Linked DNA regions of Alligator mississippiensis. The protein of the gene in region 2 interacts with the protein of the main gene of each other region in a biochemical or structural test. Links are inferred from orthologs where the notes say so. Each region holds a gene or a part of one and is shown on either strand. Other genes may lie near its edges.

The links.
Region 1: the proteins of TAL1 (region 2) and LMO2 form a complex in vitro, tested with the Homo sapiens proteins (2 studies listed by BioGRID). The link is inferred for Alligator mississippiensis from reciprocal best matches to the Homo sapiens genes TAL1 and LMO2.

Annotation. Positions count from the first base shown.
Region 1 is NC_081825.1:217,117,823-217,133,456, forward strand, and holds the start of LMO2 (rhombotin-2), read right to left. Parts: upstream 6,978-15,634; 5' UTR 6,780-6,977; coding exon 6,739-6,779; intron 2,808-6,738; coding exon 2,592-2,807; intron 193-2,591; coding exon 1-192. UniProt on the Homo sapiens protein: Acts with TAL1/SCL to regulate red blood cell development. Also acts with LDB1 to maintain erythroid precursors in an immature state.
Region 2 is NC_081828.1:4,734,358-4,749,774, reverse strand, and holds the start of TAL1 (T-cell acute lymphocytic leukemia protein 1), read left to right. Parts: upstream 1-8,399; 5' UTR 8,400-8,508; intron 8,509-9,056; exon of another isoform or gene 9,057-11,486; 5' UTR 11,487-11,634; coding exon 11,635-11,636; intron 11,637-14,736; coding exon 14,737-15,159; intron 15,160-15,417. UniProt on the Homo sapiens protein: Implicated in the genesis of hemopoietic malignancies. It may play an important role in hemopoietic differentiation. Serves as a positive regulator of erythroid differentiation.

The DNA.
Region 1 (15,634 bases), on a different chromosome or scaffold from region 2:
TCATAGATGTCCTGTTCACATACTATGTCCGAGTTGATGAGGAGATATCTATCACCAACGCAAAAATGTTTCTGGCAAGCAGCACATTTGAAGCATTCCAGATGGTATACCTTGTCCTTCACCCTCATGGTCATCTCATAGGCTCGGATTCTCTTGTCACAGGAAGCACAGAGGCCATCTTGGCCAAAGAGCCTAAAGAAACAACAAAGAGTTGAGCAAGGTACTCTTGAAGAAAAGTGGGGTGGGAATCAAAGCAAAATTTAGACACAACATCAGAAACCAGTGTTGCACTGTTACACTTGCATTACAAGGATACATAGAAGTTTAAACATTTGTTTGGTAAAATCTTTCAACCAAGGGTACTCAAAACTTGTGGTCCCAAAGGCAGGAGTGAAAATTTGTCAGAATCATACATCTTGCCTACTTTTCAAAAGAATATACTTGCTTTTTTATGATAAAAAGTAAAAAAAGCCTGATCCTGAAAGATTACGAGTTACTTCAATGGGAGTGACACCTATCTGAATCTCAAAACAAATGTGTACCATCCTAATACTTGCATCTCCCCTCATCCAGCAACAGAAATTACATTATGGTTGATAAATATTACTATTATTCCTTACTATGCAGTTAAAAGACAGGGTTGCCAGACGCTGTGATCGTAACACACAATCTAGTTTTGTTGCCTTTCTGAGATCCCTTCGGATTCAAAGACTTATATACTCATGAATGACTGCTATGTTTCAGAAAGATGGACTCTATGACCCTTTAGAAATCTATTCTAGCCCAAAGGATTTTCTTATCTGGCTTGCTTTTTCATCCATATTAAGAAACCCTGTTGAGACATTATTATGTTGTCTATTAAAAGGACCCTGTAATGAATGCTCTACATATATATCCCTCTCACAGCATGTATTGCTGCTCTCAACTGGAACAGTATGACCTGTTCAACTGTGTGTGACAACATAATGAATGTCATCTTCTAATGCAGGTTGAAGCTTGTGGAGTTTATAAATCCTGCTATTAGTAAACAAGCAGAATGTGTTTTTATTACGTTTGATAAAGTAGAGGAAACGCTGAATATTACTTGTTTGAAATATTTTCTCATGTAATTACATTCTCTGTGTTGCCATACTAATTTTAGAACCATTTGTCCTCACATATTTTTTACTGTGCTTATAGACACAGCCTGCTTCAAAAAATAACTCTTAAAAATAACTAAGAGATCTAAAAGAAAAAGAAATCATTTATTTTCTCTGCCAGAAGATGTCACTGTTCACTTCTGCCAATAAAAGTAATGTTAACATTACCTGAAGGTTGTGAAATTTTTCATTAACTCAAGACAGCTGATGAACACATTACACTTAAATAACTGAAAACACCCAGCATAGAAAATAGCATAGAGATTTAGTAATCTTGTTCCTTTGGTCTGTTACTCTTTCATTTAAAAAGTTACCAAGTATTCAGCTAGTGGAAGTAGGACTGGATCGTTGTTAGAATATTACATACACAGGAGATTTACAGCCTGTCTCATTATTGGGGCCAATTTGTCCATTATAACAAGCATATATGCCTAGCACAGCAAGCCTAGCAGAGCAAAAGCATATATACCTAGCATATCAAAAATCAATATGCTTTAACTGTAATCAAGAACATGGAACATGCAAGCTCTTTATAATCAAGTTAATGGAAAATATATAAAATTGAACTCATCTTATTTATCAATACTTGTAAGTGCAAAATGGACAGTGATTTACTAACACACAAACTATTAAGATCGGATTGACAAAAAAAAACAAAACATTTGTACACAAGGCAATGTTTAAGTACATTCTTATCCTTCTGACTTCAAGTTAACAGGATGCTTTCTTAAACTGGGACCGTAATTATTTTAATATGATAGGACTGTGTAAGTGTAGTGCCTTGCAGCCTGAGGAATCCTAAAAACCTACAAATTGAAGCACAAAATTAGAAACAGGGATTAATTCACTCACTGCTGAAAGACAGCCACTCCACTAGATAATAAATGCACAGAAGCATCACACAGTAGTTCAGTTAAGTAAAGAATCTCTTATCTAAGTGGTATTATGGTAATGGCAGATATGGAATTTGGCCAAGGCACCAAGACACCTTATTTTTACAAATTTGCCAAAAGATCTTTCATCACCAATTGTCCTCAGGGCTTCAGTTATAATATCCTTGAATCCAAAAGGCAACACCTGCAGAACCAAAATACTCTTCAAACCATTGTAGGACATTGGCTCATTACCAACTAAAAGGAAAGAGTCTGCTTATTGAATTTCCAACACCATTTCCTATGACATCTACTGAAGGTGTTCCCATGCAGGCACCAAAACCACCTAGTTATGCTGAAGCTGTGGATCTGGGCAGCACCACTCAAACATGGTACCATATCTGTAACTGCCCTCAGCCTTTATATTTTAGGAATAAATTAATCATGGCAAATTCCTTACAGTTCTTATGCAGCAGCATCACTGGGGATCCAACCTTCATTCTAAATTTGTAACTAACTTTGAAACTGCAGAAAGAAAGCAAACAAGAGCAGAATGTTGTCAGATAGAGGGACTCTGTACCTGAGATAGTCTCTCCTGCAGAGTTTCCTGCCCAGTTTATAGTACAGTCGTCTCCCCACCTCTCCGAGTCTGCACCCACACAGGTCACAGCTGAGGCAGTCTTCATGCCAGTACTGATCAATGGCTTTCAGGAAATAGCGGTCCCCGATGTTCTGTTGGCAACCTCCACATGTCAACAGTGAAGGGGGAATTTGGAGCACCTCATCCACCGGCTCCCTGAGAGAATGAGCAATCGTTGGAGAAGGAAAAACCCTTTAAACCAACTAAATAGGAAGAAAAAAAGCTCATGACCAAATTAGAACAGGATTTATGGCCAGTTTTTCCTCCAGCTAAAGTCAGTGGCAGTCCCCTGCCCTCCTCTTGATATCACTGGGAACAAGGGTACACTTTAATTTTGTTTTTAAAAAGGAGAATAGCTAATATTTCTGAAATCACCCAAGTGGAAAAAAATATTTGCTCTTCATTTCTTCTGGTTCAAAGAGTTGCATGTGAACATGACAATCTATACAACCTTCCAGTCTGTTCCTTGGTGTAAAAACATTGAATGTATTGTTAATTAATTTTCTATGGACATGTATTGTTTTCCTCTACTGGACAGAATTAGAATTGCCCAGTTTGAGTCTAATTCCTATACAAGTGCTACAAAATACATGAGATTCTTCTTAACCTAAGGGATTGGGGGACTGTACTTTTGCAGCAAGAGATCTGGAGTTTCTGTTTAAAAAAAAAAATGTTTCGTTCTTGTCTACATATGCTGATAGATAGCATAGTGATAGCTATAAAGTCCAAAGATTTGTTACAATATTCTTGACATTTTCAAATAGCTCTCTTTGTCCAGATTAAAATGCAGAAGTATTCATGACAGAACAGCTTTTGTGGTGTCTTCAAAAGGGTTTGTATATTTACCAGTAAACATCAAAAACCCAACTTCATGAACCTGTTTAAACCCCAGGATGTGTGTGTTAGGTGACTGAGAACCCCAAACATTATTGTAAAACAATTGCATTTGTTTTTAGGAATACACACTTCCCATATTGCTGGCCTCATCTTGAAACTCTCCCTCTTCAGTGTTGCCACAATCAATGGGAATATTGCCTCAATAGGGGCTACAAGTTTGGGAGAGTTATATGAAAGTATCCTCCAAGCATGAGGTCACATGGGATTAACCTCTCTCTAGGGAAGGTAAATTTGAAGTCTAAGCCTTGTGATGGCATCTGTTCTAATAGCACAAAAATGAATTTACACAACAGGTGAGACTCTGGCCCTATTGAACCCAATAATAGTCCTGTCATGGACTTCAGCAGGGCCCGAATTTCACCCAGACTTAATGCAGAATTTATCTTTTATTCTGAGTAAAACAACTAAGGACCTGATTCTGATCCCAGTGTACTACATGGACTTTAGACCACCATAGTTCTATGAATTTCAAGGAGTTATGGCTGATTTACACACCGGGGAAAGAAAATCAGCCACCCACCTCCTCCCCATTCTTTTTTGTAGTACTATATTAAAGGGCACTTTTGCACAATTCCAAAGTAACATTTTATTCCTATCCTATCATTTGTAACAAGCACTAAAATAAAGAGCAGATGCACTAATACAAGAGGGCTAAAGCTATACTTTTTTTGCAAATATGTTTACTTAAGAAAGTCTCAGTGTTGCCTTTTTGCAAGTTCTAGCAATACTATGAGCAAAAATTACAAGACTAGACTGTGGACTCAATCCAGCAAGGAGCAGAGCATGCTGGCCCCACTCCCACCAAGCATTTAGGGCCACATCCAAAGCTCAGTAAAGCCAATGGAATGATTCCATTGGATCAGAACTTTAAGCACACACTTAACTTTAAGCATGTGACTTGTGCCATCCATTTACTCAAGTAGTTTGCTGGATTGGGGTCAGACAGTGCCCAACGCCTTGCAGAAATTAGCCCTAAATTCTTAGGTACATCATTCAGTTATTGGTATAGCCAACGGTCTGTTGACAATTTGCTGGCGGCCTGTACCCTGCCAAACCTGGGGGGGGGGGAGGAAACAGAGCATAACTATACTGAGAGAAGTCAGCACAACTACTCTGAGTGCAGTCAGCACTTCCCGCAGGCTGCAGATACTAACATTTTTCGATCCCCTCGAGTTATATTATGCAGGACTTCATCAGACTTTATTTACTGGGAAAATAGCTTTCAAGTAAAAAGGACTTTCTTCAGGGTCTGAAATATGTACTGTGCTCCCTGACTTCCCAACAAGGCCTGATCCTGCTGTTTTTATGCAAGCAGAACTCCCAGAGCAGTCAGGATTTGGTGCCGATAAAGAATCTGTCTGCCTGCAAGCACTTCTATTTTTCACTGTCACAGTGCATGCTGTTCTGTCCTCTTACTGTCTCATGACTACCAGCCCCCACCTTCCCCTCTCTCCCCACAGCCCACTACACGTGGCATTGCTAGCAGAGTCATAGGGAGTTGCTACAAGCAGAGGATCAGGCCCTAGATTTTCAGAGCATACGCTCTGTTTCTCTGGTCCATTCAGTGCAACCGACACTGCATATAGAACTACAAAGGAATTTTATGCCGACTTGAAAACATCATGTTCTAAAGAACACAGAACACAGCATTTGTCTAAAGCAAATCCAATGGACTTATACTGTAGCAGTTCCTCTACCATAAATGTATCTCTCTTTGTAAGATTTGTGTGCCCTATGATATTTTATATTATTCTTGTCCCTTTTCTTGTCAGTTCAGGATCTACGACTGAGTTATTTGAAACCCTATTTTGGCTACTAGCATCCTAAATTCTGAAATAGCCTAGTAGAAGTTTATTTGGAATTGGATTTCAGGGGGAGATTTTTTTTTATGAATTTGACTGTCACCGCCTGTAATAATTCACCAGAACACCAACTAAATAAAAAAAAAATGTTTCAATTTTGTAGCTGAAATTCAGGTAGGACAGAGGGGGGAAACTACCACAGAGGTTACATTATAATTCCTTAAAAAGCAGAATATGAGGAAAAACTAGCTAACTACCTTAGCATCCCTGTGAGCAATGCATGAGAGGAGGGCTTCAAAAGATGATATTCTTAAATGCTTTGCAGGAAACAAATCCCAGATTAATGAAGCCTTTTATAGGAGGGAGGGAAACAATGATTTAAGCTTTACTTTGGACACTAGAATTGTTGAAGTTTTGGTTTTTATTCTGTGCTGTCACGATGCCAAGGAGGCACAGACCAAGTCTGAGGCACTGCTGCAATGGAGATGCGCAGCCCTGGAATTGAGTGCCATGACACCACATGGTTGGGCTGAATTAACACGCTTCTCACAAGCGTGGGTCTGCGTGTGCTTGGGTCTGAAGGGATGCCTGCAGGAAATACACTGGAAGAGCCAGCTCAGAAGGCTCCTGTCAGATCCTGAATGTAACCACCCTCTTTCCACAAACCTAGTCAAAAAGAAAGACAAGGCTCCCTTTAGACTTCCCCCTACCTACAATTCTTTGCTCTTCTCAAGATCCCTGGTCCATTTTGGCATCTCCATCCTTAGAGGTTTTGCAGACCCAGGCAGACAGAGCCTCCGCTGGAATGATCTAGCTGGGGACAGCCCTGCTTTGAGGGGGGGGGGGGGATGGACTAGATGTCCTCCCTGAGCTCCTTTCCAACCCTCTTTTCAGCCACCCCCCAGCCAGGCAGTTAATACCATCTCTCGAAAGTTTCAAACTGCCTCTGGCCTGATGAAAATGTGGAAGTTGAGCACCCATCAGATAACAGCTCTGACCTTTCAGTCTAGTCAGCTGGGGAGGGGGGGCAGATCAAACATGGGGCAGACTGCAACACTCCTCAAGCTTTGGGGAAGTCTGGCTGGGGCTTCGCTGGATCTCCAGGAGAGAAGGGAAAGAGATGGGGAGGGATGGCTGGTGGCTCCCCCCCTCCCAAAGCCCGTGTGCTGGGATGAAGCCAGGACCTGGCTTCGGCTCCAAATGGAGAAGCTGGGCTGCACGCCGGTCCCCACCCGCCATCCTCGCACGCCAGAGCCCTGCGCGCTGTCAGGCAGCCGGGGGAGGCAAAGGCAGCCGGGCTCTCTCACCTCTCCCTCCGGAGCTCGCCAGGTCCCGGACAGCACCGGCACCCCGGGAAAGAAAAGGGGTGAGGGGGAGCTGGCACTTACTCGGAGGGGTCGAGGCTTTTCCTCTCGATGGCCGAGGACATTGGCAGGCTGGGCGGCGGTGGGATGCGCCCCCACAAAGGCAAGGCGGTGTGCTCCGGTGCCTGGTCGCCCGCGGAGTTTCCCCTCCGCCCCCCAAGGGCACGGGCGGGATTTCCTCCTGCCGCACCACAGACGCGCACACAAAGCGGGCTGGGCTGGGCTGGGCTGGGCTGGGCTGGGCCGGGGCGTCCGCGGGGCTGACCCTCCGGAGCCGGCTACCCTCCCATCTCCGCGCCCAGCTGTCACTGCCGCGCCCCCCGCCCGGGCAGCTCTGGGCACGCCGGGCCGAGCGGGCTCTCTGCAGAGGCGGCGCCCAGCCCCAGCATCATGAGGGCGAGCGAGCGCAGCCCCGAGCCCCCGCTTTCATTTCCTCTTCCCCCGGCACGACTCCGATACAATGGAAGGAAATCACGCTCCGACACACAGCTGCCCGGCCCGGCTCGGCTCCCCCTGGCCCGCGGGCGGGGGCGGCCGCGCACGCAGCAGCATCCCGCGGGGCCGCCGGCTTAAAGGGCCAGGCGGGCTCTGCCTGAGCCAGGGCTGGGACCGCAGCGGGGCGGGGGGTGCTCCGCAACGGAGGGCAACACTTCTGGGAAATGCCCCTCAGGGCTGGTTTGCTTTTAAAGCGCCCCCTACTACGTTACTGGCCAAAGGCACTTAGGTGCCCTCTCCATCCACCCCCCTTTGCTCAAGGCTTCGAGATCAGGGCATGAAGCACCCACTATTATTTCACCGAAATGCCCTCTGCATCCAACCCCTTTGCCCCAGGCTTCGAGATCAGGGCATAAAGCACCCCCTACTATGTTACTGGCACAGCCAAAGGCATTAAGTGTCTTCCTCATACAAACCCCTTTGCCCAAGGCCTTGAGATCAGGGAATGAAGCATCCCCTACTATTTTACTGAAATGCTCTCTTCACCCAATCCCTTTGCCCAAGGCTTTGAGATCAAGGCATAAAGCACCCCCTACAATGTTACTGGCACAGCCAAAGGCATCAAAATGCCCTCTTCATCCAACACCTTTGCCCAAGGCTTTCAGATCAGGGCATAAAACACCCCCTACTTTGGCACAGCCAAAGACACTTAAGTGCCCTCCCCATCCAACCCCCTTTGCTCAGGGCTTTGAGATGAGGGCATAAAGCACACACTACAGCAGAACCAAGCCTACCCTGATCTGTGTCATCCGTGCCTGTGTCTCTCCTCTGTGCCTCATATAGTCACTGGTGTCTGCACAATTGTCCTGCTTAGTAGCAATATAAGAAATTTATATCTTGCCGGTGTTTGCCACTAATGAGCTATAAAAGCTCTGGCATGGAAAGGCTTGATGTGAAATGAATCATGCCTAAGCTAGAAATGGGGAAGACCCTTCGGAACCTGCCACCTCTCTCCTGCCTCTTGTCCCTCTTCACCCCAACTCCCTAGCAAGGCAGGATGGTTCTCTCCAGCCTGTTCTGGTGCCAAGTGATTTATGCTATTGAAATTAAACCTATTATTGCAATTACAGCCCTTTTTTTTTGTCCTGTGAATGAAGCATGAGGTGTTGGCTGTTGCTGGGGGCAAGGTCCTGGAGTAGGTGAACTGTCTGCTCCAGTAATTCCTATAAATACAGTGGAAAGCACTAGTGACTCCAAGGAATACCTCATTTATCTATTATTCCCATTTCAGAAATTTCATCTAAAGTCTATTTTGTGACTTTTTTCTAATCTTTTCTCCACCCCCTGACCCAGTTCTTTGGCAACCAGGGGAATAAGAACCTGAAACACATTAAAGGGCTAAGTTCAAAGTCCAGTGATGTCAAGGGAAACACTCCTGCTGAATTCAAGGGGCTTGGACCAGGCTTTATCAAATCTTTAGAGCGCTGGTTTTCAACCTGTGGTCCACAGACCCCTGGTGGTCCACAGGCTATGTCCAAGGGGTCCATAAAAAATAATTATGATCAATCAAAAGTATGTGAACACCCACACTTACAATTCAAAGCACCTCCATTCAAAATTTCCAAAGGGGTCTGCACCTCTGTTTGCAAGTTTTTTTAAGGGTCTGCAAATGAAAAAAAGTTGAAAACCACAGCTTTAGAGCCATCATTGATCATTAGGAAATGCCACCCTGTTTCCTTAAATAGCCTGTCTCTAATACACTTTAAACTCTTACAGTGTGATAACCACTCTGCTAATCAAATATTTTTGGTCAAAGAAAAATAGCTTTATAGGCAGGATTGAATTATATTCTGAATACTTAATGTCACATATATTGACTTTATGATCAGGAGTAAAAAATAAACCTTTCTGAGAGACAGAATAATTAAACTATTAAAAGCCAGAATAATTCAGCTGCCTGAACTTGATGGCAGCTTTATGGATTAGAAACAAAGTTTAAAGGGGGATTAAGAATATATATAAGGACTGCAATTAAAAAAAAAATCATGGTTAAAATAAAAGGACCAAGGATTGTGGGGAAAAAATTAACTTTTTACAATAAATGGAAGGGGCCAGATTCAGCCATCAGTTAATTTTGTGCAATAACTGTTTCCATAATTAAATGCCAGACTCCAGAGAATTGCACAGGTATAAAAGCAGAAAAGCAGAATTTGGCCTAGTGTATCTTATTATTTTTATATAATATAATGCACTTGAACCTGGTTGAATTTGAAACTCTAAATCTGAAAACAGATCATACAGATTCACAGTTCCATACTCAACACAAAGTATGTGTAGAGTAGGATTTTTCCAAGGGGTTTTACTCCCAAGGTGGGCCAATGATCAAAGTGTTTGTTCTAAAAGTCTTTTTAATAATAAAAAAAAATGTGTTTCTTATTTCAAAAAACAAGGAAATGCCAATATAAAGGAAGGACCTATTGGATACAGTCCAGCCACAGTCTAAACCTAACAATGGGTGAAAACCTTCAAACAAAATATGTAGGGTTGAATCCTGCAAGGTGCAGAAACTTCTCACTGGACATCATTGACCTCAAATGGAGCATCTCTGCCCTGGTCTGGACGTAGATGTCAAGCAGAGAAAACTCCTTCAAGTCAGTGAGACACTTTGGGCAGGAACCTATTTCACTGTATGCCCTCAAATGGCACTTACCCAGCTGTGTAACAACAGTTTGTGACACTTGATGCTTACACACAGGATGACCAAGCACCCACATGGCTACTGAGCATACTCTGTAGGTTATATTCTGGTTGTGCAGCTATGTAGCACCATACGTGTATACCTGGGTGAGCAAAAACCCTAAAACTGTAGGCAGATAAAAACTGGTGGCAAGTAGGTATTTGAAGAAGGGAGAATGGGTAACCTCCCATGTTTTAGCCCAATAGACTAGGGGTTATGGAACTCCCCCAAAAAGTGGTAGATCTAGGTTGCAGGGCTTCCTCACTCAGACGGAGGTTGAGTCTATACCTTCTGTTTCCAACAGTGCTCTAAGCACCAGGTTGCAGGTTAGGTATTATGCACATTGCTCTCCTTAAAGCTGAGCCACTGCACCTTGCATTTATCACTTGGCAAAGTGGATGGATGGAGAACAGTGGAAAAGTTTGTGTCCCACTGGGCACAAAGTGCCAAAGTAGAATCTAGGGACTTCTCTTTTCCAGGGAATCAGGCATGTCACTGAACCATATAGCCTCCAGCTTGTTTTCTTCCTCCTGGCCCTACATAGCTCTTTATTTCTTGGCTGCCCAGGGAAGAAGAGGCAGAAGAGAGAATTGTATAATGTCTAACCCATGGCCAGGTGGTAGACCACTTTGCTAATAACCAAGAGATGGAGGGAGGGGACTATAACCTGTAACCCCTGTTTCCTTGATAAGAGCCTCAATGATTTGCTTATTATGCTAAAACCTGGTGGAGACCCTCTTCCAACATCTAACAGCCATTAGTTATTGGCTTTTTCCCAGATATAAATTGAGGATTTACATGAATATGATGCCTGGCCAGGGCACAACCTACTAAGAATACTTAGCATCTTTGTGAACACTTATACGTCTAGGCTACATGTAGAAGAGGACCGCAAACTATGCATAAGGGTCAAAAACTGCAGTTACATGGCAAGGTAAATGCTATTTGGGCACATAAATGAAATAGGACTATGCCCCTCATGTTCTTGAAGTTAAGCTCACTGAAATGCTTTTTCTGGATTTAACTAATAGGAACCTCTACCACAAATGAAAGACTGAAGAAAGTGGGAAGCAGCTGGTTAATGGTGAATATACCGGAGGAAGCTTTTTACATGTTTTGTCATTGTGCTGTCTGCCAGGTACAGGTCCTGGTCAGGCTTTCACATCATGGACAAATTGTCCAAAGGTGACATAATCAGTTCGTTAATTGGAGGGTATGTAAAAGTGCTGGCAGTGCCACATGAATCATATAGATACTACCTACATACAGATCTTTAGAATAGTGGGGCAATGACCAGGAGAAGAAGCTGTCTTATTCTCCTTCTTTTCCATGGAAGTAAGATGCCAGCAGATGAGGATTAAATCAAGGGGAGAAAAAACAGGAATCATCTGGGTGGTGCATAAAATAATGCAGGTATCACTCCACTGTGCTTAACTGGCAGAAAGCTCCAACTCAATCTGATTAAACAACAACTAGTGATCAAAAACTACTGCATGAGGATTAAATTTGGCATGGCACCTTAAACAGACTACACTGTAAAGACATAAGGTAACACTTGACCCCCTATGGCAGGTGGGATTTCAAACTGCACCAGAGATGGTCATTTAGCAAGCAGCACAATGATAGAAGGTTAACAGAAACTGTCAGGAAGAAGTGTCCTGTACTGATGGGCATGTACCAAACTACAGTTGGCATTAACAAGATGGTTGAGTAGAATTTCCATCTAAAATAAATGCCTTTCCCTAAACTTCCCTAAACCAACCCTCAGTGAATTAAGAGGCAAAAACCCAAGTAAAGAAATTCTCAGCCTCCTAAGAAAGAGCCAGATTTCTAGCATCTCCTTTTGGCTGAGGAAAATGCATATAGCAAAGTAACTGATTTCCTGGGACAACTCAATTTCTCCATATTATGTCAGGTTTGTAAATGATAACTACTGATTATGAACAGTGGAACTGGATATTTCAATGCACTCATGTGAGAAGGAATGGATAAGGAAGGACCTGGGGATTAAGGCTGGTTTATCATGTGCTGTGGGCAGGTTGCTTAATATCTCTGTGGCTCAGTTTCCCCATCTGTAAAATGTGGAATGCAAGTTTATTCCAATTCTGTATCTGAAAAAAATGTTCTTATACAAGGCATTGAGGTGCCTACATTTCCTGCATGGGGACAAAAGACCAGTACTATTTTTAGTGTTCCATTTTCTTGTTATTGTATCTTTCTGCTTGCTGTCACATTTTCTAATGTTGTTTAAAACAAATTTTTATATCTATCGATAGCTTGAAACTCATGAGGGATGAGTGTTGGTTTCAATTAACTTTCATTAAGATAGATGACACTGTAGATTTGCTCTTGAAACAAGGCCTAGATCAAATCCAATGTTATTGACTGCATTCAGCATGCAGCATTTGGACTAAAGGGCTGCAAATAAACAGGCTGCCCCTGTCTGCATATTTCTTAGTGAGTGCATTATATGTAAAATTGCAGAGCTCCTGTCAGCAATGTCAGTCATGCAAAAACGTAAATTTGTGCATTTCCAAAAAAAACACATCCTATGTTGGAATTTGAGGAACATTTTTTTAAAATTACTGCTTTGTATCTCCTCTCGGATGGTGTGACAGGGAGCAATCTCCCAGTCCCGGTCACAGTATCAGCCTGCCCACCTGTCTAGGGCAGTCTGCCTGGTCTCTCCTGCCATGCCTTTTTGTTACAATAATGGTTGTAATAAAGCAGAAGGCTGCCCATTTAAGACCCCAATGCCTAGGGGTTTGTCCATGACTCCAACCCTCCCTTATCAATTCCCATGCCTCACAGATGTCTCCTTTTGAATTGCTCTCAATGGCAGCTCGTGGCTGGGCTAAACACAGCCCTTTGCTTAGCCTCATACATTCGTCCTTTCTCTCTCTACCTTAATGGGCCTCATTCACACCACCCACTCTCACCAGGCCTCTAGCACTCTGCCCACTCTCACTGGGCCTCTTACATGCTGCCCCACACTGGGCCACACTCAACTTGCCCTGCTCCCTTGAGTGGCTCCCATAGACCATCAGGCTTGCCTACTCACGTGCCTTGACTAGCCAATGAGAAATCTCTTGGGCCCTCTCGCGACACTCATCCAAACAGTAACCAGCCAATTCACCTCTCCCTGGATGGAATTCTGACCCAAAGCCCCTTATTAGGTAACTCATTACTCTCTTTCCCTCACTAGGTCTAATTACTCACCCACTTGGCCTCAGGCCCACTTGCGGCCTCAGGCACTTGAAGACTTACCTGGGCCTAGCTGCTTCTTTCCAATACCCCCACTGTCCCCCGCCTCCGGGGCCTCAACACACATGCCTCTTCTCTGAGGCCCACACTCTGTCCCTATGCTGGGGCTTCAGGGTATTACACCCCGACAGACACTCGTGCCTCTCGATAGGTGTACTTGGCCCCACTATCTTCCAGGGTCTTACACTCCCATGGGCTCGGGAACCTCTTTCCTGGGTGTGCCTGGCCCCACTACCCTCTAGTCATAATGACCCACCAGAAGGTGGGAGCTGGGGTTATCAGGCACCCCTACCGACCTTTCACTGGCGACATAACTGGCCTGACATTTCTGGGAAGCTGTCCTGCCATGGATAGCCCCACCAGACCACCCTTTCCTGGCAGGGTACAGTTTTCGGTCTTACCCAAGATCAAGCAGGCCTACCTGTCCTAGTCTAGTTCCCTCATTAAGGCACCTGGCTGATGTCCCTTCTCACTCTGATCCCATTCCAATATTATTGGAGCCTGCATGCTGGCTAACCCCTACCCTCTTCAGCTGTGATATCCCTTCCATCAAAGGGACCTTCAGCCCACATGGGCTCTGACCCCATCTCCAGGCCAATCAGGGTGCCAGATAGCTCACCTTGGTCCTGGCCTGCCCCTCGTGTTATGCATAACTACCCTTTGGCCCGGGTCCTCTTGGATTGACCAGTGTGAGGGATCAGAAAGTCAGTCTAGTAGCTGCTGACCCCCATTCTCCAAAGGGATCCCTCCTGGGTCTCACCACAGAGCCCCTGGCTTGGCCCCTGCCAGATCTACTTGGGGCTTGCCTAACCCCTTCTGTAGGCCTACTAGCTGTTAGCCCCCTTGTTAGCCTGGGCCTTGCTCTCACTAGGCCAAAGCCTTCTTCCTGGGGCTCTGGGCCCCACTACGCCTGTAGGAACGTCCTGCCATCCCCATAGTTCCTCCCTTACCACCAATGTTGTGAGCAGCAGCTCAGTCAGGTGTTGTTGCTCCCCAGCTGCTTGCAACAGACTGCTACCTCAGCCCTGAGAGCCTGGATCTTAAAACAGCCGCCTCACCAGGGCTGGCCCACACCTGCCAGCTGCCCGCTCTCAGCCTTAAAGTGGCACTTACCAAAGGTGCTCTGCCACTCACCTCTCCCCTTAAAATGACTACAGCGGCAGAAGGGTCTCCCTGATGCTCACCTTGCAGGCTTCTCCATAGCTTACAGCAGCACACTAAGTGGTGAGCATCCCAATGGTGTTCTGCCACAGATAGGATCCCAGGACTCTTTTTTGCAGTTACAGAGCTTAGCCTAGGTAGATCCTGGCATTATCTTCAACCTGACAGCATCTAAGCATTATCCACAGATTACCCAACAGTGTTGAACCACTTAAGATAGCACCTTTCTAGAGAAGTCTGTAAGTAACAAAGAGGAACTTTGCTTTTTCAACAATAATGGCTGAACATGATGTTGCTTTGTATCCTAAGGTGCAGCTTAATGAACTGATGCTACAAGAATTCATTCTGATTGTAGTCTGAATTTAATGTTAGCATTCCATTAGCTTCCAAAGCCAAGTCTAGGTGTCTGATGACTAGCACAAGGCACTGGGTGGCTAGGACTCCTGAGTTCTATGCTTTATTCTGCCACAGCTTAATTCTCTGGCTTTGGGCATGTCATCTCACCTTTTGGTTCCTTAGTTTCTCTATCTGCAATAGGGTTGGCCTATTTTAGATGACCTGTTCTGAAGCTTAATGCTTTGGTGTTTGCATACTCCTTTGAGATCCCTGGATGAAGGTGTTATAAAAAAGTAAAGTTTTTTTTCATGTCCAAACTTGACACCGGCCTAAACTGTACAGAAGTACAGACCTTCTGATTAAAGGTTTAACTGAAGTCCTAGCTGTCTACCTCTGGAGTCAACAAAAGAATTCAGGGTAGTTTATGAAAACTAAGTGAGACAAAATGCTGAGTACCTGTTGGCTATAATATTGCAATGTAACGCAGTTGATATTGATATTGTAAAGTGCTGCAAGGGGATGTGTGAGAGGTGAAAGCAACCTATAAAACCAATTCCTTTTTCTTTTTACTTGCTATCTTGTCAAGGATCTGGAAAGCTCTTTTATTGAGTAACTTTCATAATGTGCACTGCATCTTTCAAAGCACGGTTTCATTTCTACACAGGATTCTACGCTTTTCTCCTGAAGTTTAAAAGGAACTAGTTGCTATCATTCTTTTTAAGTTTCCTACAGCTGGAAATGGTGATAGGCTGTTAGGGAGTTTCCATGAGTGAGAAGAGCCATAATTGGCTTTAAGTCTCTTGGTAAATCATGATTGAATCCCCCCCTGACCAAGAATACACTTGTCTTATTCAGGATTAACCTTCTCTTTCAGCTGAATCTACCTTCTAAGACACTGAAGAAAACAAGAATACCTACTTTGGGTGAGGTTTACTGTGGAATCTAGCTTTCCAGATAAGAAGTTTGGTGCATAAAGAAGATCTAGGG
Region 2 (15,417 bases):
CTTGGAGCCTTGTCAAGGTTAAACAAGATTACAAGAAACCAGTGAGGGCCTTGGGCTTTTTTAGGTCATTAATCCACCTTGGCACCAAATGATTGACAAAACTGAGTGTAAAATCTACCTGTGCTCCGGTGACTCACCACATGCTCAGCTAATGGGGGTTTGACTGTCAGATTTGCAAGTCTGTATGCACTTTGGTTTACAGTCTGGATGTATGTTACACATCCAAAAGGTCAAGTAGTTGAGAGTGGTACCCAGTTTGTGTCCATTCTGTAACATGCCTCTAATGTCTAATGATGTCTGTTCAGAGATTACATTTTCTAGTGAGCATCAGCTCCATTTTTTATATATATTTGAACCAGCCTGGAGCCATAAGGTATGCTGTATATTTTTTGTGAATTTTTTAAAAATACAAACAGACTGAAAGCACTAAATTCTGAAATTCACCCAAGACGACCCTGATCTTTGTATCAAATTACTTAAATCCGTCCGGATTGTACACAGAGACATTTAATTTATGTATCATGAAAGCTTAACCAGGAAAGTTGGTAAGTTGTAGCACTTTTTGTACCTTTTGCGGAATGAATGCCTATTTATTTGAAAAGTAAATATTAATCATTCGGGGCAGGTGTTCCATAAGCAACAAAGATCAATAGGTTAGTTTTATATCTGCTTCATTTGCTGTGGCGTTTAATCTATGAGACATTTACCACTTAACAATCACTGTTAATTTAAAGTCGATGACCAAGTACAACAGCTATAGTGATGTCTCACATGGTTTCAAACTTTTTAACAACACAAAGAAGTTTGAGATGGGCAAGCTAATTGGTTTATTTGTTCTTCTGTGTTGATATGTAAAGTAATCTGTCATCAAAGCTCTGGAGTACATTACTGAACTGGCCTTTTTGTAGTCCTGTAATAGTTGATACATTCTTTGAGTTTGAATTTAATAAATTATTCATTCTTTAAATGTTCTGTTTCTCTCTTGAGATCTTTTGGATTTTTGTTCAATTTTAGTGACAGCGGTTGCCACCTCAACAATCAACGTTTTTCCTAAATTATTTCTAATCCTAAATAAAATGGAGAGCCGGCATCTCAGAGTATACTGACCTTTTGTGGCTATTATTCCACTTACTTTGGACAAGTATTGCCCAGCTACATAAAAGCAATGCTTCCTGAGCAATGTTTGTGCACCTTTTTATTCTGATCTGCTGCTTATGGGATGTTGAGCCCAAGCTGACACTTCCTGTGTCGGGACCAAAGCCCTGGTCCACCTCCGATTGAAGTCAGTGCCAGCCCTTTTCACATTGAATGTAATTGAAGCTGGATTGAATCTTGCATGAGAAAACAAACTGCTCTTTAGTGCGGTGTGTCCTAATGAAGCCAGAACCATCCTCTTTTCTACTTCTTCCCCCGCTTCCCATGAATATACTTAAGATTATGTTAAATCAACATTTTTTTTTTTTTTTTTTTTTTTACTGGACAGAATGAGTGAATGATGGATACACATGATGGTTTCTAAGTGTCACCTTCCCTCAGAAACTTACGTATTCCCACCTCCATGTGCTAAGCTTTTGGACCATGGAGAGCAAGAGACTTCCATAAAACTGACCACTTTTTAGCCTGCCAGGCAGGTTGGAATAGCAGCTGCTTTAACTCTGTGCAAAACATACTCTGAAGTAGCATATTGAAAAGCTAGAAGTGACGAGTTTTTCTCCCCTACCAGCGTGCCTTTAAAACAGGACCTCCGAGCTTTTTGGACAAAGTAGGTTGAACATAAAAACATTCAAAGTTTAAGTGTCAGCAACCCAGCCCACTAGCAGGTTTTTGCAGTACATGGAAAACTTAGTGCCACTCATTTCTTTTTAAATGCAAGACCCAAGCCAAAATCCAAACTCCTGTTTGGTCCATTTAGAATCAGAACAAAGTTTGCATTGGTTCTAAGGTAAGGGGTAAGGATCCATGCTGATCCATACATTGAGGGGAAATTGTGAGCAGCAGTAATTCTGCCAAGCCTCATATCTTATATAGGGCTCATCTTATCTGTCTCACGCTGCATCACAACTTGACAATAGACTATCTGCATCTTCATCAAAACAGTGGTAATCCAGAGAAAGGAGCTCTTGGCAGAATCCAGTTTTCCTGAACTACAGTGCTGCTGAGATAGGAGAGTTAACTTTCTGGCCATAGGCTGATAATTTTGATTCAGTTTTGTCTACAGAACCCCACCCCCCCAGGCTATGACATGGCCATTTGGGGTGTTGCAAGAAGAGGAGGCAAAGTCTCTAAGCCAGTGGTCCTCACCCCCTTTAAATACAAGTCACCCCTCAGTAAAAACTTCAGCCACCTCTCAGTAGATTTGGGGTACCCCTCAATTGATTCGAGGTACTCCTTGGAAAATGCCAATTCATTTTTTTTTTCACTCAGAAAAATAATAAATCAATCGCTGCAACAGGTCACAATGGTTTTTAACACTATGGGTTTGTATGTGAAAACTCTGGGTTTATCTTGTGAACCGTGTTTACCTAACAATACTAACGCTGTGCAGCACCCTTGAAAGAATCTCAAGGCACCCCAGGGTGCGATGGCACCCCGGTTGAGAATTACTACTCTAAGCAGCAGTCTTTTTGGTTCACAAAAAGGTAGTCTCAAAATGTGCAAGTCACATATGCTACTAGAAAACATCCTGTGCTGAGCTGTAGGGCGTGGACTAGATTGCCTTCTGGGCTTATCTTGCACTCTGTTTTTGGCTACCCAAGAGTAGATGTGTCCTTCCCAGTAACAGGCATCACTAGTGCTCTTAACTGGTCTTGCAATCCTCTGCAGGCAACATCTGTCTCATGCCCATTTGTGCAGCTGCATGTCTTTTTGGTTCCACCTCCCTGCCTCCCCCCCCACCACCACTTTTCTTTCATGGGAGCTACCAGCATGTTCAGATCCTGGCTTATAATGAGGCTGAAGCCTTCTTGTATGTGCCAACAAGAGGATTAAGAATACATGAGTAAAATAAAGCATGAGCTATTAAAGATGAAATGGCAGTATAGAAAGGAATGTCATCAGCTACCCTCCGGTAATATGTTTCTTTTTCTCTGCACAATTAGCAGTCGTAGCCTCTCGAAGTGGACGGCTCTGATGAGGGAGAATATGTGTTTGCTCTTAGAAATGCGCTGTGTATTTTGAAGCTACTTCAGAACCTTTTTCAAGCCCTAAATCTCTACTGATTGGGATAAGCATTAAAGCCAGCCGGCTGCTTCTGCAAAAAGAAGCAATAAACTAGTTAATGTTGTTAAGAGGCGGTTAGCATTCCTTTTAGATGAATGAGGCAATTCATACCTCTGAGCTATTGTTTCATTATTTCAGGGAAGGGGGGGAGGTTGTTCAGTGTTTCCCTTATAAAATGGCTCAAAAACACAGGAAGATGACAGTTGTATTAATTTATATTTGAATAGCATGTAGGGGGAGGGGGGGAGGGTTTACACACGTGCCAAATATATATATAAATTGCCAAAAACATATTTTTATTTTTAAACAGCTTGAAACTTGGAGCATAGCCTTGCCACTCTAAGTCACTCCCAAAAGCACCAGCTTCTGGATAGACGGGATCATCAATAAATGCCACCTTACATTTTTAAGGGATAATATCCCACGGAAATCAATCCCCTTTGCATTGCATAGCGCTGCTGCACAATTTGCAAAGCTTTTGCCTGCTTCCAAAGCAGTTGTCATAGGTTGGAGATGAGGCATCAGACAAGATGGGCCTTCTGGCAATTCTTGGGTTCCTGCTGTGACACTTGAGCCCCAATTTTCAGTTCCAAGCATGCCGTGGTGGTCATTTTTGAAGGCCTGCATAGATTTAAGAAGAAGGGAGCGAGGATGTGTGGTTTACAACGGATCTAGCTATGAATTTGGCTAATACACCTGAAGTAATCTTGGAATTTAAAACTGCCTCCCAGAGACGGGGGTGCAAGATAAATGGCACGAGATTCCAGCCTGCAACATCTGTCAGACTTGGGTTTCAAACAGTTGGTATTGTATTTACATTGATAGTCATGGTTAAGATTGTATGCATTTTTCCATTGCTTGTACTGGTAATTTCCATTTGTTCGCGATTCAGAAAGGGCAGTACTTGTACAGCTACCTTTTTCCTAACTGTTCAGCTTGGTCCAATTAATTCACTGTTATTACAATAGGACCCCTCTGTGTGCGCTTATCCTCCAGAGAGGTTTAATTGGCACCTGCCGTAGTTCACAAGCATGGTGAAACTAAAAGATGCCCTCCATCCCCCTTGATGGACAGGCATGGCAAGATCCACCTGGGATTGGGCTACAGCCCGGATGGTGCGGGTGGGATGATACAGTGCAGTAGTGGTCCCCAAAATAGAGCACCTGGGGAGTGGGGCACCCGCAAAGGTATTCATTTATAGTGGTGGAGCCTGACCAGAAGTGGGGTTATAAGCCGGGAAGTGGAACCACCTTGTTAAAATACTGGAAATTGCTGAGATCAGGCCCCATTGTATTAAGCGCTGTGTAAACACAGCAAGGGACAGGCCCCCAATGCCTGACAGCCCGGATGAATGAGTCAGGAAAGGCAGGAGGGGAAAAGTCTGCAGACAGAAATGATGTGTCCCAAGGCCTGGTCAGTGCAAGACTCCCATTGAGTTCGGTGGCAGATAAATGCCAACCCAAGGTGCCTAGATGTTGTGACCTGGTGTCATCATCTGCAGCAAGGGGCCACCGCACTAAGGGGCAAACTTAAAAGTGGTCGGGGGGCCGTTGCTTGTAGGATACAGGGCAGATGGCTGAAAATGGAGGGGTACAAGGAGCACTGGGGGGGGGGGGGGTTTGAATTCACCCTAATTGTGACACATCCCAGATCCTCTCTGGTGACTAGTTGTGTCCATTGCTAGAAAGGAATATCTGGATTAGGGACACGGCAGGCTTGCCATAGATGTGCAGAATCCGAGAAAACGAAGGGACCTCAGGAGGTCACATCCAGTCCAACCCGCTGCTCCGAGCAGCACCAGCCCCAGCTCCATCATCCCCACTATGGAGGTCTCCTGCTGGGGAGGGCTGATGCCTGCGGGGCAGGATCCTTGCAGGGACTAGGGTGAAGCGGAGTGCATCAAGCTGCTTGCCTATCTAAACCCAGGAGATAAGTGGCTGCCTAATCTAACCCCCCCAGCCCCCTCTCTTCTATCTTTAACACTTCCTGCGGGGCAGAGGAACTGAGCTGAACACGGTCGTGTTTCCTGGCTGGAGGCGCAGCCCGGTCGTGACTTTCTGCCTGCCTCTCCCACCCCCGACACACGCAGCCGGGTCGTGAGCTGCTTCTGGCCGCGGGGCAGGAAATGAGTAAAGAGGGGCTGGGAAATCTCCCCCAGCCTGGAGGAAGAGGGGCCGCGGCTGCGGGGTGCAAGGGCTCTGCCATCCTGTCTCTAGACCGCGGATCTGATGGTCCATCGTGCCTAGTCTCCTGTGTCACACCGGGGCAGAGAGTGGAGGCTGGAAAGGGACAGTGACCTGGGACTGACCGAGTTTGTTTTGCACCACCCCTGTTTCTCTCTCACTTGCAGCCTTCAGCATTGAATGTCCCGGTTCCCAGGCTGTGCGCCCAAATCCCTAAGGCCAGGGCACAGATGCACGCGGCCCCCTGCTTCTCCCAGCCCTCTGCTCCGCATTCACCTCTTCCCCACTCACAGCCTCCCTCTCCCACACCTGCTGCAGCAGTGGCATCCCTTCAGCCCGTGGCTGCTCGTTACTTTTGGGGAGCCTTCCCTCTGCCCTGGCTCTGCCCGTCTTTCCTCTCTGCTGGCCAAGCAAGACCTGTGTCCGGCTGGGTGGGGCGGCGTGGTCCATCCCTTGCCAGGTTGCAAGCTCCCAGCCCTTCTGCAGCCGGGGGGCCGGGTCCTGAGGAATAAGGGGACGGGGGGTGTCTCGATGTGGGATCTAAAATCAACCCGGATTCCTTGCTTAAATGCCCGCTGGGCTGGATAAACCCTCCAGGGACTGGATCTAGCAGCACCGTCCTTGCATGAGCCCCAGCTCGTGTCTTTCCCCGGCAGGCGAAAACCCTGCGTGGCCCCGAGGTGTCCTGATGGGGAAAACAGGGGCGGGAGGAAGGGGAGGAGGGGAGAGGTTATGTCTCAACAGCACGATGCTTTTGGCACTCCGTGTTTGGGGGGTCGTTACAATGCCTTTATATATCTTGTGTGCGTGTGTGTGTGCGTGCGCGTGCTTAATGGGGGTGCATCACCATCGCACAACATGCACGCCTATATAGAAAGAAAGAAAGAGTATTTGGTGTGTATGGCCACACACAAACACACACACACACCATTCATGCATACACACCTTTCATGCATTTATATGTAGTAGATTTCGTGTGTATACACCCCCCCCCTCCCCAAATATATTCTATTATATACTAGATACACTGTTCTTTGCAAGCTTTCGGGTACAAATACCCTATATATATTTATGCGTGCGCATACCTCCCCCCCACTCATTCATGCTCATGTATATGTGTGTGGGTGGGTGTAGGGAAGGGAGAGAGGCATACACGCACACACACATATGTACACACACGCCATATATACTATGTATTTATCTTTGATGTATTACACACACCATTTATGCATACATGTGTGTGTGTGCACGTGTAGGGAAGTGAGAGAGGCACACACGCACGTACACATATGTACACACACGCCATATATACTATGTATTTATCTTTGATGTATTACACACACCATTTATGCATATATGTATGTGTGTGCATGTGTAGGGAAGTGAGAGAGACATACACGCATATACACATATGTACACACGCGCCATATATACTATGTATTTATCTTTGATGTATTACACACACCATTGATGCATATATGTGTGTGTGTGTGTGTGTGTATACGTATATGTATACGTACATGTACACACCAAAAGCTATTTAAAGGGATTTTAACGACATCCCAAACACCGAGTGCGAAAAGCATCGTGTTGTTGAAGCACGAGACACTTGGTGTGTGTATACTGGGGGAGGGGGGGTTATGAATGAATGGGGGGGTGCACCAAAAGCAATTAATGCAACTGTAAACAAACAAAACCACCTTGGACCAACACGGCTCGGCTCACAAGCATCGATGGCATTGCCGGCTTCACCTGGTGCAGCCTTTCAGGCTCCCCTTTGTTTTATCTGCTCGTTTGCTCACACGCCATAGGTTTTGGGGGTCTCGTGTCCCTAATGCGCCCTAGCTCGTGTTGGCATCTGCCTAGCGGCTTTCTCCCCTTGCCCTCAGACTGCGGGCTCATTGACTGCCCATGACTTCGAGACAGGGACACGTTTGTGCGCGTGAGTGCGGACGCCGCCTACCTACCTGCCCTCTTGGATCCTCATTTTGGGGCGGATCCGGGGAGAGCAAACAGGTGCAGCCTTTGCTAGGTCGAGCCTAGTGAAGACAGGCGTGCATCGAAAAGAAAGGCGGGGGTGGGAAAGAAACACGCCCTGGACGTGTGTGCACCCGGCTGCTCTTGGGGGTTTTTTACATCACCCTCCCTGGCTCTTGGGGCAGCCCTAGCTGCTTCAGGCAGAGCTCAGGATTTCAGAAGGGTCCTGCTCCCTTCCTCCCAAAAGAAATGCACCCCAGGGGATGGGAGACACCACCAGGGTTGCAGACACACGGAGCAATTATCCCGTTTTAATGCGATGTAACGCTGTTTCTTTCAAGGTGCCCATCTGAGCCCCGGGTGAAATTGACACGAGAGATCTACCCCGCTGCGGGGTGAAATTGACACGGGCGATCTCCCCCATCCAGGTGAAACTGACATGGACTGCCCCCTTTCACCGAGCAAAGGGAGGGGCGCCCCTTTTCTTTAATGTCCACTATTAATTTGCTTTATTTACCCAATTGTCCCAGGACCCCTCTCTTCCCCACCTCCTCTCCCATCTCTTCATCTCTCTCAGCAATTTATTTTGGCTCATTAAATTTAATTAAGAACTGAGTAGGTGTTCCATATTTAATAAAAAAAAAAAAGAAAGAAAGAAAGAAAGAAATGCAGGGGCATAATATCCCTCCAAGAGGACTAAAATAAAAGAATCGCTATTCAAATTGTGGACAGTCACGGTGCATTTTTTATTACTCTTTTCTGCAGTGGCTTTTTAAGAGCATCTAAGCACACACACATAAAAAGCTATAAGGCATGCATTCCAGAGTTATTCCTATGCATATCCCTGCAATAATTTTCCGCTTTCCTTCGATAAAATTGCCAAATAATAATGAATCATTTCATAAATAATGGGTTTAGAGGCTTATCAGGGCAGGCGGGCCATTGCTAGGGCCTTATCTCACTTGGCCACATTGCTCTAGTGTTCCGCTCTCCATACTAAATAGGAAACTGGACGTGATGTGGAATTAGATCCTTCTCCCGTGAAGCCACCCAACACTTATTACAAATATAGCAGCAATGAATAGGCCACAAAATGGCTCCACTCACTTTTACCAATGAAAAGCAAATGGTGAGTAAGGAGCACTCCGTGCCTCTCTGGGAAGGGGAAAGGGTGGGATGTTGCCTATTGTTTTAGGGGGCTTCCTTAGGGCAGAGAGAGAGAGGGGGGGTTTCCCCCCTCAGCCCCCCACTTTGGTCGAGCATGGTAGGGAAATGGATAAAAAAAAAACCTAAAGGATTGTTGTCGGGGTGGGGGTGGGGATAAGGGTGGGTGGATTATTTTTGTCCCCACTTCTCTGCTGGAGCCTGAGCCCCGAAAGGGTGGGTATTTCAGCCGTGGGCAGGGGAGGATGGATGTGCCCCGGGGTAGGGGAGGCACATCTCATCGAGGGGTGCCTTGCGTTTTGTTTCTGCCTCTGCCCCGGGGTCGGGTTTGACTGCGGAGCCGGCAGCTTAGACAGGCCCCGTGTGAACCCAGCTGCCAGGACCGGCTCCGAAATAACCAGTTCTTTAATCCGATTTTTTTTCCTTGGGTTTGGGGGGGGGGGCACACATTTATCAGTGGATTAATGTTGGGGGGGAGGGAGAGGGGGGAGTTTCCTGTCCAAGGCACGGTTATAAAACAAAAGCAGGCTGGGCAGGAGATGCAAGCAGCCCAGCCCGAGCTGGCCGGCGGGGGACGAGGCAGGACAGTTACAGGCTCCTCCAGCCCTCCCATGCCTTGTTCCCAGAATCACACTGATTTCACCCCAAAAAAAAGGGAATCAAAATAAGGCTCGAGGCTGGGCCACGCAGGGAATCATCTACCTGCGACCTGCAAACGGGCTGGGACCTGCTCTTATTTATTCCTGCGAAAAACGAAACGATCTCGCCTTCTTTTTTATTTTATTTCATTTTATTTTATTTTATTTTATTTTATTGACCTGGCATTGCAACATTTGCGGGAACTGGGGAACTGTAGAAGTGGGGAGGAATTGGGATTGTCCCCAAAGCTCCCAGAAAGCAAAGCCACATTTGCTTTGTTGTTTGCGGATCCAACAGCGGGTTCCCTGGGATATTGGTTAAAATCATAATCATCATTATTATTATGATCGTTATTATTATTATTATGGTTATTAGTAGCATTATTATTTCTATCGTTAGCATCTTCATTTTTATGGTCATTTTTTCTATGATTAGTATTATCAGCATCATTATTATGTCGGGCTTCTTCTTTATTTTTATTATGTTGGTATACTTTGTTATTTTATTCCTGATTGTGGTTATTCGGGTGGATTTGATTTCCTATTCATTCCTCTTTCCTATTAATTTCGTTCATCGCAAGGGAGATCCAAGCGCACGCCTGCGCCCTTAGGAAACCCTTGCACCCCTGTGCCTATCAGATGGACCTCTCCATTCAGGCACTTTTTATATCCTTCGGGGTTAGCAGCATTTAACGAGTCCCAGGGTCCGGGATTTTATTTTTCAAGCCACCGGGTTTTTCTACTAAGCTCATGGTAGTTGTTCCCCTCGTGCGGGCGGGCGGGACGGGGTGGGCGAGCCCTGGAGGAGACCATCACCCAGCCCAGCTCCCAGCACCCAGCACCCACTCATCTCCCCTGGCTGCAAGGAGAGTTTTAGGCCCTCCAGGATGAATAGGATTTCTTCAGGGACATTATGCATCAGTTTGAGAAATGGAGCCGAGAGAAACATAGCCATAGGCAGGCAGTACAAATAAATGATCTCCGAGCTTTGTTGTGAACGGGCAAAGGGGTGTGCTCTACACACAGACAAACAGGGTTTAAAAAAATAATTAAACATGATGTCTAGAAGACATAAATAGAGTCATAGACTATAGAGCACCCCAAATAAATAGAAGAAAGAATAGGATACGATAGGAAACAGAAAAGAAGAAATAAATAGAGTAATGTTATATCATAGAGCACCCCAAATAGAGTAAAGAATAGGATACGATAGGGAATAGACTAGAATAGAAGAAATAAATAAAGTCATATTATCTAGCACCCCAAATAAATAGAATAAAGAATAGGGTACGATAGGGAATAGAGTAAAACAGACTAGACTAGAATAGAAGAAATGAAGTCATATTATCTAGCAAATAAATAGAATAAAGAATAGGATATGATAGGGAACAGAAAAGAAGAAATAGAGTAATGTTATATTATAGAGCACCCCAACTAAATAGAATAAAGAATAGGATACGATAAGGAACGAAACAGAAGAAATAAATAATGTTATATTTTAGAGCACCCCAAATAAATATAATAAAAATAGTATACAATAGGGAATAGAATAGAATAGAAAAATAAGAACAGAAGAAATAAATAGAGTAATATGATAGTATAGAGCACCCCAAATAAAATACAATAAAGAATAGGATACGATAGGGAATAGAATAGAATAGAATAGAAGAAATAAATAGAGTAATATTATATTATAGAGCACCTCAAATATGTAGAATAAAGAAGAGGATACGATTGGAATAGAAGAAATAGAGAGTAATATTATATTATAGAGCAACCCGAATAAAATTGAATAAACAATACATTAGTATACGATAGAGAAAAGAAAAGAAAAGGATTTGCATTCACAATCAATGCAAACCGTGGCTATATTTCTATATTAAGCTAAATATTTCCACAAACATGCTGCCTGTGTTTGAATCCGTTAGGGACAGAGGCGAGGAGAGCCCGGTCGTGCCTGCAGACAGATGGGCAGGCGCTGATAAGGGGTGCTGATACTCCCGGGTCTATCTGGAGCGGATGTGTCCGCACGCACACACGTGCGCGTGTGTGATGTGTTGACACCCCGTCCCCCCTGCCCCGCACGCCGGGCTCTGGCCCCCCAGGAGGTGGGGGCCCAGGGGCAAGGGCAGCAGGGGCCGTGCTGCGGGCTCCTGATTGGCTGGGGGGGGGAGGTAGCTGCACATCTCTCCATCTGCTCCGTCTATCTCGGTGCAGATCTCCCCCGCTCCAAAGTGCCGTTGGTCTAAAGGAAGCCGGGCGAGAGATCCCCTGGGTTGTTGTGTTGGTGTTTTTCCCCTTCCAGGATTTGAGCCGCATGATACGGATGAGGGTCGCCTTCCTCCCCGCGAAGTCGTGAGTATGCTGGCGGTGGGAGGAGTGAAGGCAGCCTGACACCGAGAGGTCTTTTGTTGAGACAGGAGACTCGAGGTGTTCCTACTTAACTATGACAGATGTGAGTAATCTCTTCCTATGCAATATCAGAATGGGCAATTAGGGGGCTTTTTGGGGGGGCGGCTAAAGAGGGAGGGTGGGTGGGGGGTAGGGAGGAGGGGGAGAAAGAAATGCTGGGAGGGTTCAGGTCTTCTCCCAAGCACCCTAATGGAGGCAAAAGCAATCCAGGTTCCCCAGGTTTCGCTTGGGCTCGGACCTGACGCTTGCGCTTGAACCCGGCCCCGCTTTACTTCCATCAGGCACAGACACAAGAGAGATATAGCGCGCTAGGGCTGATTCCCCTTGCCCCAGGGGCAAGTGCCCGGGCTCCTAGACATCTCCATGCAACCGACCCCTGGCAAGGCGGGGGCTCCTTTCCCCCACTGACCGCCTCGAGAAGGGGCAGCCCGGGTTATATTTTGCAACAGGAGCTTTGCCAGGCCCTCTCCTATCAGGAGCACCGGTGTGCAAGCGCCACGCTTGGCTCTTGCAGGCGAAAGTGGGGGCCAAATTCACGGGTTCTGCTTTGGTTAAAAAAAAAAAAAAAAAAGGAAAAGAAAGGATCCTGTGTCTGCAAAACAGGAAACATCAACTGAGCCGGAGTCGCCTACAGACACCGGCGTTGGGACCGTGCTCCTGCCTGCCTCCGGAGCTTAAAAGTGCCTCTCTAGGAGGGGCAGAGCCCTGCTTTGCTAGGAGCAGGGCAGATGGGCACCGTTGTCACCGGGCGCCTGGCTCTGCTGGGCCAGCCAGGTCGGACTGCGCGTGTTTTCCAAGGGAAGCATTGCGGTCTGATGCTGAAATATTCCCTCTCCCGCACGCGCACGCACACGCACACACACACAGAGTGCATTTCAATATTGCACACACCCACCCAGACACACACTGTAACGCAATACTGAAATATTCCTTCTCTTGCACACACACACTGTATTTCAGTACTGAAATATCCCTTCTCTTGCACACACACACACTGTATTGCAATACTGAAATATTCCTTCTCTTGCACACACACACTGTATTGCAATACTGAAATATTCCTTCTCTTGCACACACACTGTATTTCAGTACTGAAATATCCCTTCTCTTGCACACACACACTGTATTGCAATACTGAAATATTCCTTCTCTTGCACACACACTGTATTTCAGTACTGAAATATCCCTTCTCTTGCACACACACACTGTATTGCAATAGTGAAATATCCCTTCTCTTGCACACACACACTGTATTGCAATACTGAAATATTCCTTCTCTTGCACACACACTGTATTTCAGTACTGAAATATCCCTTCTCTTGCACACACACACTGTATTTCAATACTGAAATATTCCTTCTCTTGCACACACACTGTATTGCAATACTGAAATATTCCTTCTTTTGCACACACACACAGATGCTATAGCCATGCTATATCTCCTATCCTACCCTATATTTCAGTACTGAAATATTCCTTCTCTTGCACACACACACTAAATTTCAAGACTGAAATATTCCCTCTGTCACGCGGGCACGCATGCACACACACACTGCGTATTTCTCCCGAAGCCATTGGGGTTGCTCACGTTACACGAGTCCAATTAAATATTTAACCCACGCCTCTGTACAACAACGTAATTACCGCAATGGTTTTGCTGAGAAATATGTCCCTCGCTCGTGCGCAGATTAGCCCCTAATGCTTCGCTATTAAAGTCGTAGACCGTGATGCTGTATTTGTGGCCGAGCAGTAGGTGCCCCGTGCATACGGAGGGATTATCAGTGCAGGCAGTGGGCTCACCCCCGGCCCTGTGTTGTGCAGTGGGAGGACAGTCAGCCTTTCCCGGCAGGTCCCAGCTGTGATGGATGCATGTATTCCGGCTTTTACAAGCCGCGCTGCCCCGAGCTGGCGGCTGCAGGACTCGGGCAGCCAAACGGGGCTGTGCTTGCTCTCCGTAGCCTGCTCCCAGCACCGGCTGGCAAACGGGCTAAGGGGCCACGAAACTCGCTTCAAAACCCAGCTCGGCTCTGCCCGGCACGCTCCGGATCCGCCTGGCAAGCACAGGTGCATGGTACGGGCGTGTAGAGGGACACTCCGCTCCTGGATCCCCTCACACCCGATCTTAGCCTGCAAGAGGCCGCGGATACGGGGCATATCCGTACAGACACCCGCTGAGTGCGCCAGGGCGAGCTGGCCCGTTTCCGAGGATGTAGGTCCGAACATGTCTCCTGGAGGATATGGCACGTCCTGTTAGGGGCACTATTCATCTCACACGGTGTGCACCCTAGTGCCACCCAGCATCCCAGGAGAGGATAGACTAGGATTCAGTGCAACATAAAAACTGCACAGCACAAGGTTACAGCGTGATATGGACTGTGATATAACATAACATATCGTATTGCTATGCCATGCCGTACCACTTATCCTATCCTATCCTATCCTATCCTATCTTGTTAAGTGATGATACAGCAGGACATAACCTAACACAACAATACAATATGTTATGTTATAGTCTATATTATCCTATGTTATGTCATGCCATGCTATATATCTTATCCTATCCTATCCTATCTTGTTAGGCGTTGATACAGCAGGGCATAGCATAACATGGTATTGTTATACCATACCACATCACACCACACCATACGTCCTATCCTATCCTATGTTGTCATGCGATGATACAACAGGACATAGCATAACATAATATGTGGTATGACAGAATATGACGACATGTATCATCTTGTTCTGCTAGGTCACGTCCTGTATGGTTATGATAGAACAGGACAGAGCATAATATAATGTGTGATATGAGAGACCATAACACGCCATCATATGGTATTGCTGTGCTATATCATATCGTATCATATAACATAGCATAGCATAGCATAGCATAGCATGTCTTGTTCTGCCGTGGCAGAACAGAGCCCAGCAAAACGATGCGTGATGTGAAACGACAGAGCATGACACGACCCGACCCGACCCGACCCGACCCGACACGATGTGACACGAGAAGCGGGGCCGTCCGGGCTCCCCGGGGTGCAGTGCGGGGGCTCGGGCGGACAGGGCTGGATCCGGGCCGGGGGGGCGCGTGTCCCCTCCCCGCAGCCCCCATCCACCCACCCACCCGCCTGCTCTCTCCCCAGGACGATGGAGAGGCCGCCCGCCGCGCTGCCCCGCAGTGACCCGCGCGATGCAGACAGCACGAGCGAGCCGGAGCCGGAGCCGGAGCCGGAGCCGTCGGGCGAGCGCGGGGCCATGGAGGCGCCGGGAGCCCCGCAGCTGCTGCTCAGCGGCGCGAGCGTGGAGGGCGGGCGGGCCTCCCCCGGGCCGCCCCCGGCCGCCGTGCCCGTGATCGAGCTGGTGCGCAGGGGAGGCGCCGCCGACATAAAAGGCAGGGAGGCGCCGGGCGACGCGATGCAGAGAGCGCCGGGCGCCGAGCTGTGCCGAGCCGCCGATGCCGCCTGCGACGCCCGCATGGTGCAGCTGAGCCCGCCCGCGCTGCCGCTGCCGCCCGCCGGCAGAGCCATGCTCTACAGCCTCGGCCAGCCGCTGGCCACCATCAACAGGTCCGTGCCCCGCCGCGCCCCCGGGCTGCCCGTCCCCGGCCGGGCTGCCCGTCCCCGGCCGGGCTGCCCGTCCCCGGCCGGGCTGCCCGTCCCCGGCCCACCGGCCGAGACGCGGGGCTGCAGGCAGCTGCCTCCAACCCGCGCCTGCTGCCGGGGGCATCCTCCAGAGCAGCCTCTCGGTTGCAGGACGGTCTGGACCAGGGCTCTCAGGGTCCCTTCAGGGGCCAGATGGGTCTGGAGGGGACTCCAGATGGGTCC